Linked DNA regions of Schizosaccharomyces pombe. The protein of the gene in region 1 binds, or shares a complex with, the protein of each later gene. Each region holds a gene or a part of one and is shown on either strand. Other genes may lie near its edges.

Region 1 (4,604 bases):
TTACCGATTTTCATATTAAATCCTCGGTGGTCAAAATTTGTTGGGCTCTTGCTCTCTATTTGTCGTTTGCGTTGGTGGTTTGTAATATTCCTAACCACCCCATTTTTTTCTGGCGACCCTAACTTGGGGGTTTTGTTTACAGATCCAGGTGTCGAGAAAACCGGTATTTTCAGGCAGAAATCGATCTTAAGAGACGATTTTTTCTTGTTGGGTTGACTACCTTGTACCTGAAATCTGTTGTGCGAAAATTTCCAGATTTAAAAAATCGTGGATTGATTGAAGGGCAATTGAAGATTACGGGATGCTATTTTCCTTTTCATGCAATTAGCAAGTATTACTGATTTATTTGTAATTCCACAGTGTCTGATTTATTTTTGTTAACAACTATATTATAACACTTTTTTTTCTTTGCCTTCATCATCATCATCATCATCATCGTTGTTCTTTGTTTCTTTCAATAAGCATTTTGTCATTTTCTTTTATCATTATTGTCTTTTTTTCATATTTTTGTCGGTTGACTGATTGATTGTAAATAAAGTCTCATAGTTATATAGAGTGTGGTTTGCCTTTTCTTATTGTTTCGCCTTGTCTTGTCTTGTCTCGTCTAGTGTTGCTTGTATTGTCTTACCCTATCTGTTCTTTTTCTTCACTTTTGTTTTAACTGCGAATTTTCTTTCTTACTTTTTTGCTTTTCTTCCTTTCCTATTCCTCCACTATAAAGTTTTCGGCGTTTGATCATCTACGAACACGATCTAAAATTCAATTACTTTCATGTATCCATTTTCTTTCGATCCTTCTTCCAAACTTCCAGTCACAGGTATTTATAACATCCTTCTGTTCAATCTATTCCCTTTAGCTACATACCTTGTCGAAACCTTTTGTTTTTTTCGCCGGTGGAAAATCGCCTGCACTTTGTTATGTTCCATCACGGTTATACTGGCGTATCGCATGTGTGCTGTCTATCACCATGTTGGTTATAAGGATGTCTCTACATTTGGTTTGGCATATGGCTTTCTCATTATGATGTCGCTTCGAACTTGCTTTTTGAGTTGGCGAGATATGGTACCTTCTCGCAACGATCCTGTACAAATCAGCGCTGTTAAGCGTCGTCGACCATTCATTCGTAACGCTAGGTGGAACTTTGTTGATTATGCACTTTCTTTGCGCAAGTATGGTTGGACTGACGACGTGGTTCCCCCTTACTGTAGAAAAGTGCTGACTTACAAATCTTTGGGGATACGTACTGCTGTCTATGTGGGTGCATTTTGTTTTGTCAATTGTTTTAAAACTCGTTTATCCAATTGGATGTTGCTTCCTATATCAGCCAACCCATGGTATATTCAAGTCGCATTTTGCGTAACCTCTGGATTCTTTTCATATTTGTTTATTAATGCCTTGTACTATTTATTCGCCATTATTTTTGTTCCTCTGGGAATTTGGGATATTGCAGAGTATCCATTAATGATGGGAAATGTATCTAAAACCACCTCGGTTAATGATTTTTGGTCCAGAGATTGGCATGTTTGTACCAAGCCCTATTTCAGAGTGATTGCTTGGGATCCAACTATTGCCCTCACTGGAAGTAAGTTTCTGGCAAGTTGTTCATGTTTTTTCCTTTCAGCATTATTCCATGACTTTGCCTATTGGTCAATTTCTGGACGCTGTTCACCTGCTTTCTTTTTTCAGCTTTTAATTCAACCTTTCCTTATTAATCTTGAAAAAAGGATTCCCCTCTTGCGCAAATATCATTATTGGGTCCTAATAATCGAAATGCTTATTAATGGAACATATGGTATGGGAGTCGTATTATTAAAATTTAAGTGGAAAACATGCTCGCAAATTTAATTTACTGTTTAATGTCTATGTTTGACCTTCCGAAACCTCTAAAGTATCAGATAATTGCTATGTGTCCTAGTTTATACATTTAATGGATGGTTCAACTAAATTAACTTTTCCGTAGATATTGTTGGAATGTTAAATAATATATAGAGGGAAACATTACATTTAGCATTCTAATTCTCATTCTTTGCCAACAGTAATTACAAAACTTTATTTATTTATAAGATTTGTTAATAGTATGGGTTTTTTCAATCAGATAAAGTGAACCCATAGTAAGCCACCATGATCACTTGCATACAAAACGTAGCCGGGAGAGGAGGGGAGAGAAGTAGAAAAAGATTGAAAATTGTGCAGGATTCAGTCGGGTTAGCTAAAGGGATTCAATGCGCGTAGCTTGGAATCTATTGTTGACGACCGTCCAATTGATCATATCCCACCATTTTGTAATGTACATTTTTTTACCATTTAAACCATAGTCGTCAAGATACGCATATTGCCAAAGGTTAACGCATAAAAGCGGTACAATTGCATTGGTACGAAACTTAGGAAATCCTGTTCCCCAAAGAAAGGCATTTGACGCATTGTACGTGCATAATAAGGAAAATAAAGATTTTTCTGGACTATATACCAACCACAGCCAACCATCACCAAAAACTGAATTGCCAACGTCAACCATTTGAGACTTCAACTCACCAAATGAACCGAAGGATGCATCAATTCCAGGCTTTAGGTTGATAGCTCCTAAATCTGCATCTGCAGAGGGCCGTTCTGGAGAAATAAGGCCGGAAAAGAAAAAATCATGATTTACCAATTGGCTAGAGTAATTGAATAAATTAGCGCGGGCTGGGTCACTAGCGCTTTGAACCATTAAATCTGAAGGCACACGATACGGAGTTTGATGAATTTTACATTCTTTTTGTACTAGGCCTCGTAAGTGGTTGTCATAAGCAAAGATATTCCTGACCGCATCTTTTGACAAAAAATTCTTGTAGCCCACGTCCAACGCTCTGGCGAAGCGCTGTTGAAAACTCATTTGTTAAATTGAGGTAATAGTTAGGGAATGGGTATAAAAAACTGCAATGGAAATCAAGTATGCGGGTTTAAATTTTGTAATCCTAAGAAATTGGCAAAGACGACCAAACTGTATAATTAATTCATTAAGTATTAACAAAATATGAAAATCAAATAGTGTAGATGCTACGTTTTTGAATGTTTGAAATATTTCAACTTCAATATTGGTAAAGGCGTTCCACTCAGACCGCTCAGAGAGAGGTAAGCAGCCCTACTGGCGCAAGTAAAATATCGGTATGAAAGTTCTGCATTCCTTGTTGCGATATATACCATTATACCACTATATAAATTTTTGAAGTTGAATTAACAGAAATCTAAAACTTCGTTGAAACTTAACTAGTATTACAATGAATTTGTTAACAAGTTTCCCAAAAAAAATTGTGAAAGTAATCTTAAAGCGTTCAACGGGTTTAAACGGTGGATTATAAAAGCCTTTATTCCCAATATGACCATGATTCAATTTAAAAGTAAGCTGTATGACTCATTTTCAATCAAATTTACTTCGTCTTTTATAAGAAGATTCATTGACTTGAGAAGAAGAAAAATAACTTTAATATTCGAATGATCACAACTTTTATGTGAAAGAACTGTAAATATGTTAAACGTTTATAAATGACAATTGTGGCCGTTTGGTCTAGTGGTATGATACCATCTTAGGGTGATGGTGGTCGTGGGTTCGATTCCCACAACAGCCCGATTTTTTTTTTTGTCTCAGTAATTCAAGAGACCCTCAAATTTTTTATGTAACCGTTTAGATTGCAGCCTAATTGTTCAAAAGCTTACTCAAATTTGATCTAAACATTCGTGATTAATCGTTTATGAAACCATACGCTAACGATTAATTAGGAATTGATACAGGTTCATAACACCGTTCATGGATTGGAAACATCTACCATTTATTTTTAGTTTTAGTTAACTAAAATTGTAAGTGCACTGCATTTTTTTCGAAGCTTCATTTCTTTCATCGTTCAAAAAGCTGCTTTGGCAATAAAAAAAAGTTTAAGGTTATTTTTAGCCGAGGCTACTGGGATTGTTTCATATGCTTACAAGCGAAATAGGGAATAACTAGCTGCATACAAATGTTTTTGAAGAATACCTACCATTGGGGCTGAGCTAGAAGAAATATGGGATTTGAGACAAAAAGATTACTACTATATTAAGGAAGAACTGCTGAAACTTAGACGGAATAACCCAAGTATGCATACATGCTGCCAAGCCCGGTCTTGTTGCAATTTCAGGCTCTACACAACAGTAACAAGTGATTTATGGATTACGGATACTTTTTTTAAATTTAATATTATCTGGTTATAGTTAAAATAGAAGATTGTTTCACTATCCACTAGTTTTGGATTACATGCCATTAGTGATCAGGGCTATAAGCGAATAATTTTCAACGTTTCATCTGACCCTGGTACAATTTTTTCAGTAAGTCACATATTTATTTATTTTTATCCAAAATAAGAGCTAGATGCGTATTTTTTACAGGCCATGCCACAGTCTTTTTTAATTGCTAATGTATTAGACTGTGTCAATGGTACGAGACATTACTAACGAGTAAAGGTAATTTCTTCTATAGGATAGATTAAATATACCACCTAGAATTAGCGATGATTTTTACACAAACTCAGCATGTCTGTTTTGTAATTACCAATCCGTTTAATTTATTTGATGTGCGCTCAAAAGATATATAACAA
Region 2 (4,438 bases), on another chromosome or scaffold:
TAGTATATGTTCAATGTTGCAATATTATAGTTTATGTTTAGACAATGTCAAGCATAAATAAGCTTAATAATGATAACCAACTTACTGAAGGTGTATATATGTGTCAGTTTTCAAACCAAAACCTTTTTATTTATAACCGTAACCCTAAGTTTTTATGAATAGTATAGTATACGATATACTATATATGTACATAAGAAAATGATGAAAACTCAAATTTCTTCTTTGGAAATGCTCTGTAAAATGGCGCTAGCCATCGCAAGATTAGACTTGAACAGAGCTTTTTTAGAATTATCCACTAAAGGATTTTTCCGAACATAAGTTTTTAAGAACCAATCCACTTTCGATGAAAGGTTTTTCTCTGCTTTGCAGTTTTCAAATATTTTTACGAGTTGTAAATCGTCTTTAACTCCCAAAATTATATCGGTAAAAAAGACCAGTAAAAACGTTTGCATTTGGGCATTAATGGCCATAAAATCCACATGCTAAAATTGAGTTAGTAATTACAATCAAATTTTTAGAATATACGTACTTTGAGGATAGTTAAGGGCTGTGCAGCTTCAATGACTAAAGACGCATAAAGCTTCGCCAAGTTAACTATGCGTCTCATGGATATTTCTCTTTCTTCACTATCATCATCTGGTTGTAGTTCATTAAAGAAATCCCAAAGAGAGAATTGAAATGACTTTTTCAAATTGTGCTGCAATGTACAACATTTTAACGCTACCAAACCATAAAACGGGTTATACAATTTCTCATTACCAACGCAATGCAAAATTACATAAGCTATTTCAGGTAATTGATTCCTTTTGAGATGCAACTTCAGCACTCTTTCCCATGCATCAATGTAGTCCTAAGTTTGTTAGTTTAAAGTTAATGAAATTTAGAACGAATACCTCTGAACCAACAAGGGCAACGAATATCGAAGTTCGAAGAGTTGAATTCAATCTTAACTTCTTAGCAGCTTGTAAAATTTTTGAATGGGCCGTCAGTTCTTCTGATTTTTTCTTATCCTGTAATGCTTCAGTAGATAATGTGTTGTCACCAGATGGAACATTATTCCAAGAAGCTCCAACAAGCCACCATCGACCTTTCGTCTCAATCTGCTCAATATCTTCTAAAGTAACTCGTAAAGGCTCTCTAGCATTTAATGAGCGGTTGCCTAACGAACCCAAAAATTTCTTTAGCTGATTTACAGCTTCAAATTTAGATTGGGCGCTAGCATTGGCAACTTTTGTTTTTTTGTTTTCTTTAAGATTAGTGATCGATTCTACCATAAACTTTGTACGGACAGATATGGTTGATGGATCAGCTGAAGCTAATAACAAATTCATTTCCGTAACAATATCTTGGAGAGACGTCGGGTCATCTGATCGCAACTGCCCTCCACAATTGAGGACAATTTTGAGCAGCATTTCAACGTTCAATTCGGTTAAAGAGCGTAAAAAAAGGCGAATCAAATCATAAACAAGAACACATGAAACAAGTTGAAAATTATACAACTCAACAAAAAATACAATCAAGTTAGAAGTCTCCTTATGGGAAGAAAGAGGTTCTTTCTCTTTTGATTTATAAAGCTGCAAAAAACGTTCCACTAGGGTTTGCAATAGATGAGCACCAAAGTCATTGCCTACAATGCGGTAAAGAGCAGTGGCTAACGCAGCATATACTATGGCCAATTGATCTAGCATAGATTCTCTTCCCATTACGGTTTGTAGTAGCAAATTGGTGATGGTAGACGTGACTGAGTGTCTTGAATTTTCCATGTAAAGGACTTCAATCTCCTTAATAATTGAAGAAATATTTGCGATAGACAATTTGTTTAGCGATCCTTGTAATTTCCGACGAAGTCGCAGAGCATCTTCTGACTCCTTATCTCCCCCTAATTTTTTCCGTAAAGATGGAGGGACATACTTTGAGCCGACGTTCGCATTAGGTAAGGATGGGACTGCAGGCTTCAAAGGATCCATCCGAATCGGCTTAGTTTCAGGTTGATGGAATTCATCAGAATTAGACTCAAACCCATGAAACTCTTCCTCCTCCTCACCCGAATTTCCTTCCCTTTCACTTTCCAACTCATCAACGCTACCATGGTCACCTGTATCGTCTGAAACTTCAGAGTCTTCTGAATGACCATATGAAGGATCTTCAGTGCCCGGAACGCCTATGTCATCAATTTCTTGATCTAGGTCTTCTAAAAGCCATCCAAATTCCTTGTCAATTTTTGAGTGAGCAGATTTATCTTTGCTTTTGATGCCAAGCATCTTTTCTAAATGAGCGATTTCACGATCATCCTCTTCCAAAGCAATCTTATGCTGAAAAGCAATGGGATCGAGTAATTTACTCTCCTTTGCCTGTTTATTCTGTGAAGATTTTTTTTTTGTAGATGACTTTCTGTGAGCATCTAAGTAATCATCATTAAGTTCAGAAGACTTACTATCACCTTCTTCTGTAATCTTCCGGTTTTCATAACCATTTTTTCCTCGAGAGATCCTAGCAAATTTTCTTTTTTCACGATGAGGTAGATTATGATTTCGCTTTCCCCGCCTAGCACTCGAATCTATCAATTTGGTTAAATATACTGACCAAATCTATAAAAAAAAGCTTACCAGATTCTCCTATCTCTTCTAAAATACTTTTGGGCAGTTTTAAGCTTCTGCTTTTTTTAATTGGCCTCATACTATCGAATGTTTAAATATTAAACAAACGATAATTAATACTAAAGCTCAAGAACTACCAAATTTTTCAATTAAACGATACCAAAAACTGGTATAATTGCTTTACAAAGAGAAGAATTGGGCCTCAGTCTCGAGTTGGCGTATCGTTTCAAATGAATTTCACAACACTGCTAATGGAACTGTATACAATATCGCAATTTGTTAATGCTATTTAAAGTTGTCACTCTGCTGCTGTATTTTACATTAACGCTCTATGTAGTATCACACTAATAAAGCATATCGAAGTGGAAATGTTGCAATCGTGCAGCGATTTCAAAGTCTTAAAGTACTACTACACCAAACGGGCTTTCATTTTGCTCGAGTCATTCGTGTCTGTATTATGCTTTCACGGAAATTATCACCGGAGCAACTTGTAGCTCGTCGTTTAAAAATACGTGACTGGAATCACAAAATAGGTGCAGTTGTAGCTCCCCATTATTCACCGACATTATCCATTCGAAATCCGGCACCTCCTAGTCAACTTAGTCTTCCTTTATTGTTGTCTTCTGGTGCTCATTTAGGACACTCTACATCCATATGGAATCCTTACACGCAGCCCTTTATATATGGTAAAAGAGAAGGTATTCACATAATATCATTGGATCAAACCATGGTTTACCTACGAAGAGCTATATCCGTCGTTAGATCAATAGCTAAAGAAAATGGAATTATATTGTTCATTGGCACCAGAAACGGCCAGAAAGATTCTGTCGTTGCTGCTGCCAAACGTGCTAGAGGTTATCACATATTTGATCGTTGGCTACCAGGACTTCTCACCAATGCCAGAGAAGTACAAGGAAAGCTTGGCGGTTCAATTTTATGTAAAGATAATAGAGGGAAATTGATTCAAACTGATAAAAAACCAAGTTATGTCTTTCCTGATTTGATGGTTATACTAAACCCATTAGAAAACAAAAGTGCTTGTCTAGAGGCACAGAAAACTCATGTTCCAACAATTGGAATCATTGATACTGATGCGGATCCAAGGATGGTTACCTATCCTATTCCAGCAAATGATGATTCTTTACGGTGTACAGATTTAATAGCTGGTTTACTGAGTAGGGTAGCTGAGCAAGAGTACCAAAAAGCTAACCAAGCCTTCGAAAAAGATAAATTTACACTTCCTTTATGATTCCCCTCTCATTGTTTTGAAAATGCCTGTATTCTTTGATTTTTCTAAACATGATTAAAGATAAGGTCTGATTAATTTTCACTAGTATTCAATAAAATTAATGATTCGTAAACGAAAGGTTAAAAAGAAAGAATAAATTATTATGGATAACGTATATATCACATTTCAATGATTTGATGCCAAAATTTTTGTTAAAGACAGACATATTTTGCTGTGCGAAAGGAAATCATCGGTATGCTTTCACATTTTCTATAAACTCTTTTTTCAATTGTTGAATAGTCATCTTTCTAGTATCCCTTGAATTATGATTGTGTCTACTAGATACACTGAGAATTTCTTTGTCAACTTCGTCTTCTCCAATGACAATTTCATAATTATAATTTAAAAGTCTTGATTCACGTAGCCGTTTGCCAATAGATTGTGCTTCAGCGTTTATGTCCACATAATAGGTATTTTTATTGAGTGGGAGAAATTCAGATTCATTGACTTCCTGATTAGACAATTCCTTTTGTACTTGCTTAGCATAAGTTAGAATTCGATCTGTTTGATTGACTGGTAAAATGACAGCATGTCTAGGACTTAGCCAAAATGG
Region 3 (4,423 bases), on another chromosome or scaffold:
CACATCTCTCCATTTGCATCGGGCTCCTTCTCTCCTTTTGCAACTTCATCGCCTAATTTTTTATCGACTTCCACACCCGCTCCTCCTAATTCAAATAATGCTAATCCTTCTACCCTTTTTTCGTCCATACCATCCTCTCGACACACTACCTCTAATCATTTCCCTTCTAACTCCGCTCAATCCTCTTTGTTTTCTCCTACCGCTCGTCCACTTACTGCACGCAAGCTTGGGTTTGCCTCCAGCCAAACTAAGTCTGCCGTATCTAACAACCATTCACGAAATAGCTCTAAGGATGCATCATTTATGATGAAAAGTTTCATCCCTTCTAATCGCTCACATCCTCAAACCCAACAAAATGAATCTTCCCTCTTTTCTGATAACAGTATGGTTAACTCCTCTTCTAATTCATTCTCCCTTTTCCCCAATGCTACTCTACCTAACCCACCCTCATCTGAGTTGTTAACTACTCCCTTTCAACAAATCAAACCTCCTTCCCAAGTTTTTATGAGTACAGGTCTTTTATCCAAGCAACATCGTCCGCGAAAGAATATTAACTTTACACCTCTCCCTCCTAGTACTCCTTCAAAACCCTCTACCTTTGTTCGTCCACATTCTTCCTCCACAGATTCGCCTCCATCACCCTCGACTCCTTCCAATACACAAACCGACTCTTATTTTATTCAACGGGAAAACACTCCTACAAATCACAATTCCATTCCTACTATTCAGTTGGAGAAAAGTTCCATGGACTTTTTGAGGTTCGATCCTCCTCCTTCTGCTGTAAAAACTTCTCACAACTATGGATTACCATTTCTATCTAATCAGAGGTGTCCCGCTACGCCTACTCGTAACCCATTTGCGTTTGAAAATACTGTTTCCATTCACATGGACGGTCGGCAACCTTCGCCTATCAAATCGAGAAATAATAATCAAATGTCATTTGCCATGGAGGAAGAAGCTGATGTATCTCAACCCTCTTCTTCAAGCTTTACATTATCCTTTCCTTCTGCTCTCACCTCGTCCAAAGTATCATCATCTACTTCACATTTGCTTACACGGTTTAGAAATGTTACTTTACTAGGAAGTGGAGAGTTTAGTGAGGTTTTTCAAGTTGAAGACCCTGTGGAAAAAACTTTAAAGTATGCAGTGAAAAAGCTCAAGGTAAAGTTTAGTGGACCAAAAGAACGTAATCGACTACTTCAGGAAGTCTCTATTCAACGAGCCCTTAAAGGCCATGATCACATTGTAGAGCTTATGGACTCATGGGAACATGGGGGGTTTCTTTATATGCAAGTCGAATTGTGTGAAAATGGTAGTTTGGATCGTTTTCTTGAAGAGCAAGGACAACTTTCAAGGCTCGATGAATTTAGGGTATGGAAAATATTAGTAGAAGTAGCTCTTGGGCTACAGTTTATTCATCATAAAAATTATGTTCATTTGGATTTAAAGCCTGCTAATGTTATGATAACATTCGAGGGTACCTTGAAGATTGGTGATTTTGGAATGGCCAGTGTTTGGCCTGTTCCGAGAGGCATGGAAAGAGAAGGTGATTGTGAATACATTGCGCCTGAGGTTCTTGCTAACCATTTGTATGATAAACCTGCTGATATTTTCAGTTTGGGTATCACAGTCTTCGAAGCTGCTGCTAACATTGTTCTTCCTGATAACGGTCAGTCTTGGCAGAAATTACGTTCCGGTGACTTATCAGATGCTCCTCGACTTTCTTCAACAGACAACGGTTCATCTCTTACTTCTTCTTCTCGTGAAACACCGGCTAATAGTATAATAGGCCAAGGGGGACTTGATCGCGTTGTAGAGTGGATGCTATCTCCAGAGCCTAGGAACCGACCTACCATAGATCAAATTTTGGCAACTGATGAGGTTTGCTGGGTTGAAATGCGTAGAAAAGCCGGAGCCATAATTTATGAAGGTATTCATGGATCTTCTTCTAACCCCCAGGGTGATCAAATGATGGAAGATTGGCAGGTGAATGTTTAAACCTTTTAGAGACTCTTGTTCTCAATGTTTATTACTGCGAAATTGCGAAATAAGGGAATGGCTTCCAAAATCTGTTTAGCTTCATAAAAGCAAACACTTTAATTATTTTTAAACGAAAAGTTTAGTGATTGGTGCTTATAATTAATTTTGGTTCATTAAATGCTTTTTTTTTATTTAAGGATACGTGTCCGTTTTAACCGAACCCTTAAATTTTAAAAAATTTTAAAAAATTATTAGATGATAGTTTTTCTATTTAATTTTTTGCCTTTTCACCGGATTATCTATTTGGTTTTCTTCAGTCAAATATCCGGTTAATTATATCTGAGGCAATATGATGATGGCTATGGAAACATGCCATTCAGTTCTTGATATGGGGAACTAGAATGTTTCCTTAATTTAAAGCCTTGACGCCGCACATACTGTACGTGCTTTGTCTACTGAAAAAATGTTAGTGAACGATTGTTTTTTATATCGCAAATCCTTTCTCTAACATGTAGACTCGGCTTCAGAGGAGTTATTATTCCTATTTTTCATCTATTTTATTGTCTAATTTCTTATGTCACTCGTTTGTTATCGACTTGATATGTTGCATTTACTCATCTTTGCTAGCATAAAGTTCGAATCCCGACTGTTTATCCACTTTTTTTTGACTTCTGTTTTCATAATAATTTAGATCGATCGATGACACTGCCTATTATTCTTGTACATAGTTTACGATCTTGCTGAATGGCAAATAATTGGTTATGTTTATGGAAAATGCCACGATTTACTAACGAAGTTTAATAACCCGTTAGATTTTTTATTATTATCATATCATATAATAATTAGTAATAATGTTAACGTTATGCTTAGTTCCACTTCTGTAATTTTTAATTTCCCTTTTTTTTTATGCTTGTGAAAGCTGTGTATATGCTCAAGTTTGTGATGCCTTCAAATTAGTATAGGATTTTAATGACCCGTTTAACACTTCATATCTAAATAAACATTTATTTTGAAACAGAAAAGTTAGAAAATTCAGGTATCATCACGTTTTCATTTATCAGACACAAGCATAAGCTATAAACTATTTAACGAGTGTCTCATTATTTCACTAAACACCTTCAAACATTGAAATATTACTTTGACAACAGCACGGGAGAAAAATGCTTGGGAGACGAATATTTTCTCCAGCTCCAAACAGAGGATTTATTTTATGCAATCTCATACAATCTAATAACTCTACGCGAAGAGGGTTTTCGGACAATCGAAAATTTAATGAGAGAAATTCTGAAGCATCTTCAAATGTAGGATTTCAGAGAAGAGTTCGCTCAAATATTCCATCATATTTATCAGCCTCCGTAGAAGAAGGTGATATTTACTCTCCCAATGATTTACTGTTTGAAACGGTAAAGGCGAAAAATCAAGCCAAATTCTATGAACCAGTAAGAGAAGATTGCTTTAAGACGGTGAACGAAAACCCTATGAATTATTGGAAAAACCCCGTAATATTGTCAAGATTCGTTACTGAACTTGGTCGTATTAAACCCAGAGGTGATACTGGCCTAACAGCAAAAAATCAACGACTTCTTTCTAGGGCTATCCGAAGGGCTCGAGCTGCTGGTATAATGCCGACGAAATACAAATCAGTTTATTCGGAAAATTAAATTGTACTGAATATTAACAAGGACGTTCTATATCTCATTTCATCACATTGGTAGATATACTTACCCACTGTCCCTTACTTTTTTTTTCTTAAGGAACGATAAACGATCTACTTTACTTTTTAAATGATTAGCTCACGTTAATTAATATTTCAGGTGTACTTTGGTTTTGAATAGTCTTTTTTGGATTAAAATATACATGACACAAAATCATAAACCGCTGCTAATATTAGTGGCTAACATTTTTTAATGGCTTTAAAAATATAATATCTTTGTTATCTTTAATTTTTAATTTAGCTTGATTGAACTTTTTTGTAGGAGGAGCGTTAGTCGATACAATGTATTAAAAAAATTATCTAGTAGTAGTTATTTTACTTATCTAAAGAGGACAGAGAGGGAAGAACAAATAATTATATGCAAAAGAAGAAAAAATCCATCTAGAAAAGAATTGGGTTTTATAGAACGATATTAAAACGATGAGTGCATCATGGAGCTAGTTCAAAATATATGCAATAGGGCTTTTCATGAAGGTATATGAGATAAAAGAACAGAAGTTAAATCAGCTTGTGGTATGTAATTCTCCGACTTTAACGAAATTAGAGATCCTGAGAACTTAGAAGAATGACCTAAAGCTGTAAATAGCTGAGCACTCTTATAGGGATCTGAACTCTTTTTATGAACCCTTTGAATGGCCCACTCGATTGAATATAAAGCTTCGTGAATGGCTTGCAAAGGTGGTATATTACAAGCCAGATTCGATGCAATGGCAGCTGTAAGAGAGCAAC

The links. The genes of interacting proteins can lie anywhere in the genome.
Region 2: SPOM_SPBC3H7.04 (region 1) and mrp4 share a complex: the UniProt entries of both Schizosaccharomyces pombe proteins name them as parts of the mitochondrial small ribosomal subunit.
Region 3: SPOM_SPBC3H7.04 (region 1) and rsm18 share a complex: the UniProt entries of both Schizosaccharomyces pombe proteins name them as parts of the mitochondrial small ribosomal subunit.

What each region holds. Positions count from the first base shown.
Region 1 is NC_003423.3:1,873,688-1,878,291, forward strand, and holds SPOM_SPBC3H7.04 (mitochondrial 37S ribosomal protein mS42), read right to left. Parts: upstream 3,095-4,604; 5' UTR 2,873-3,094; coding exon 2,210-2,872; 3' UTR 1,967-2,209; downstream 1-1,966. Other genes in the region: SPOM_SPBC3H7.05C (uncharacterized protein), read left to right, coding at 772-1,845. UniProt on the Schizosaccharomyces pombe protein: Component of the mitochondrial ribosome (mitoribosome), a dedicated translation machinery responsible for the synthesis of mitochondrial genome-encoded proteins, including at least some of the essential transmembrane subunits of the mitochondrial respiratory chain.
Region 2 is NC_003424.3:3,064,826-3,069,263, reverse strand, and holds mrp4 (mitochondrial 37S ribosomal protein uS2m), read left to right. Parts: upstream 1-2,997; 5' UTR 2,998-3,054; coding exon 3,055-3,846; 3' UTR 3,847-3,938; downstream 3,939-4,438. Other genes in the region: sgd1 (ribosome small subunit biogenesis protein), read right to left, coding at 210-482, 530-850, 894-2,557, 2,607-2,676; SPOM_SPAC24C9.09 (threonine--tRNA (Thr) ligase), read right to left, coding at 4,073-4,438. UniProt on the Schizosaccharomyces pombe protein: Component of the mitochondrial ribosome (mitoribosome), a dedicated translation machinery responsible for the synthesis of mitochondrial genome-encoded proteins, including at least some of the essential transmembrane subunits of the mitochondrial respiratory chain.
Region 3 is NC_003421.2:722,870-727,292, forward strand, and holds rsm18 (mitochondrial 37S ribosomal protein bS18m), read left to right. Parts: upstream 1-3,120; 5' UTR 3,121-3,140; coding exon 3,141-3,641; 3' UTR 3,642-3,923; downstream 3,924-4,423. Other genes in the region: protein kinase Wee1, read left to right, coding at 1-1,998; SPOM_SPCC18B5.05C (phosphomethylpyrimidine kinase), read right to left, coding at 4,161-4,423. UniProt on the Schizosaccharomyces pombe protein: Component of the mitochondrial ribosome (mitoribosome), a dedicated translation machinery responsible for the synthesis of mitochondrial genome-encoded proteins, including at least some of the essential transmembrane subunits of the mitochondrial respiratory chain.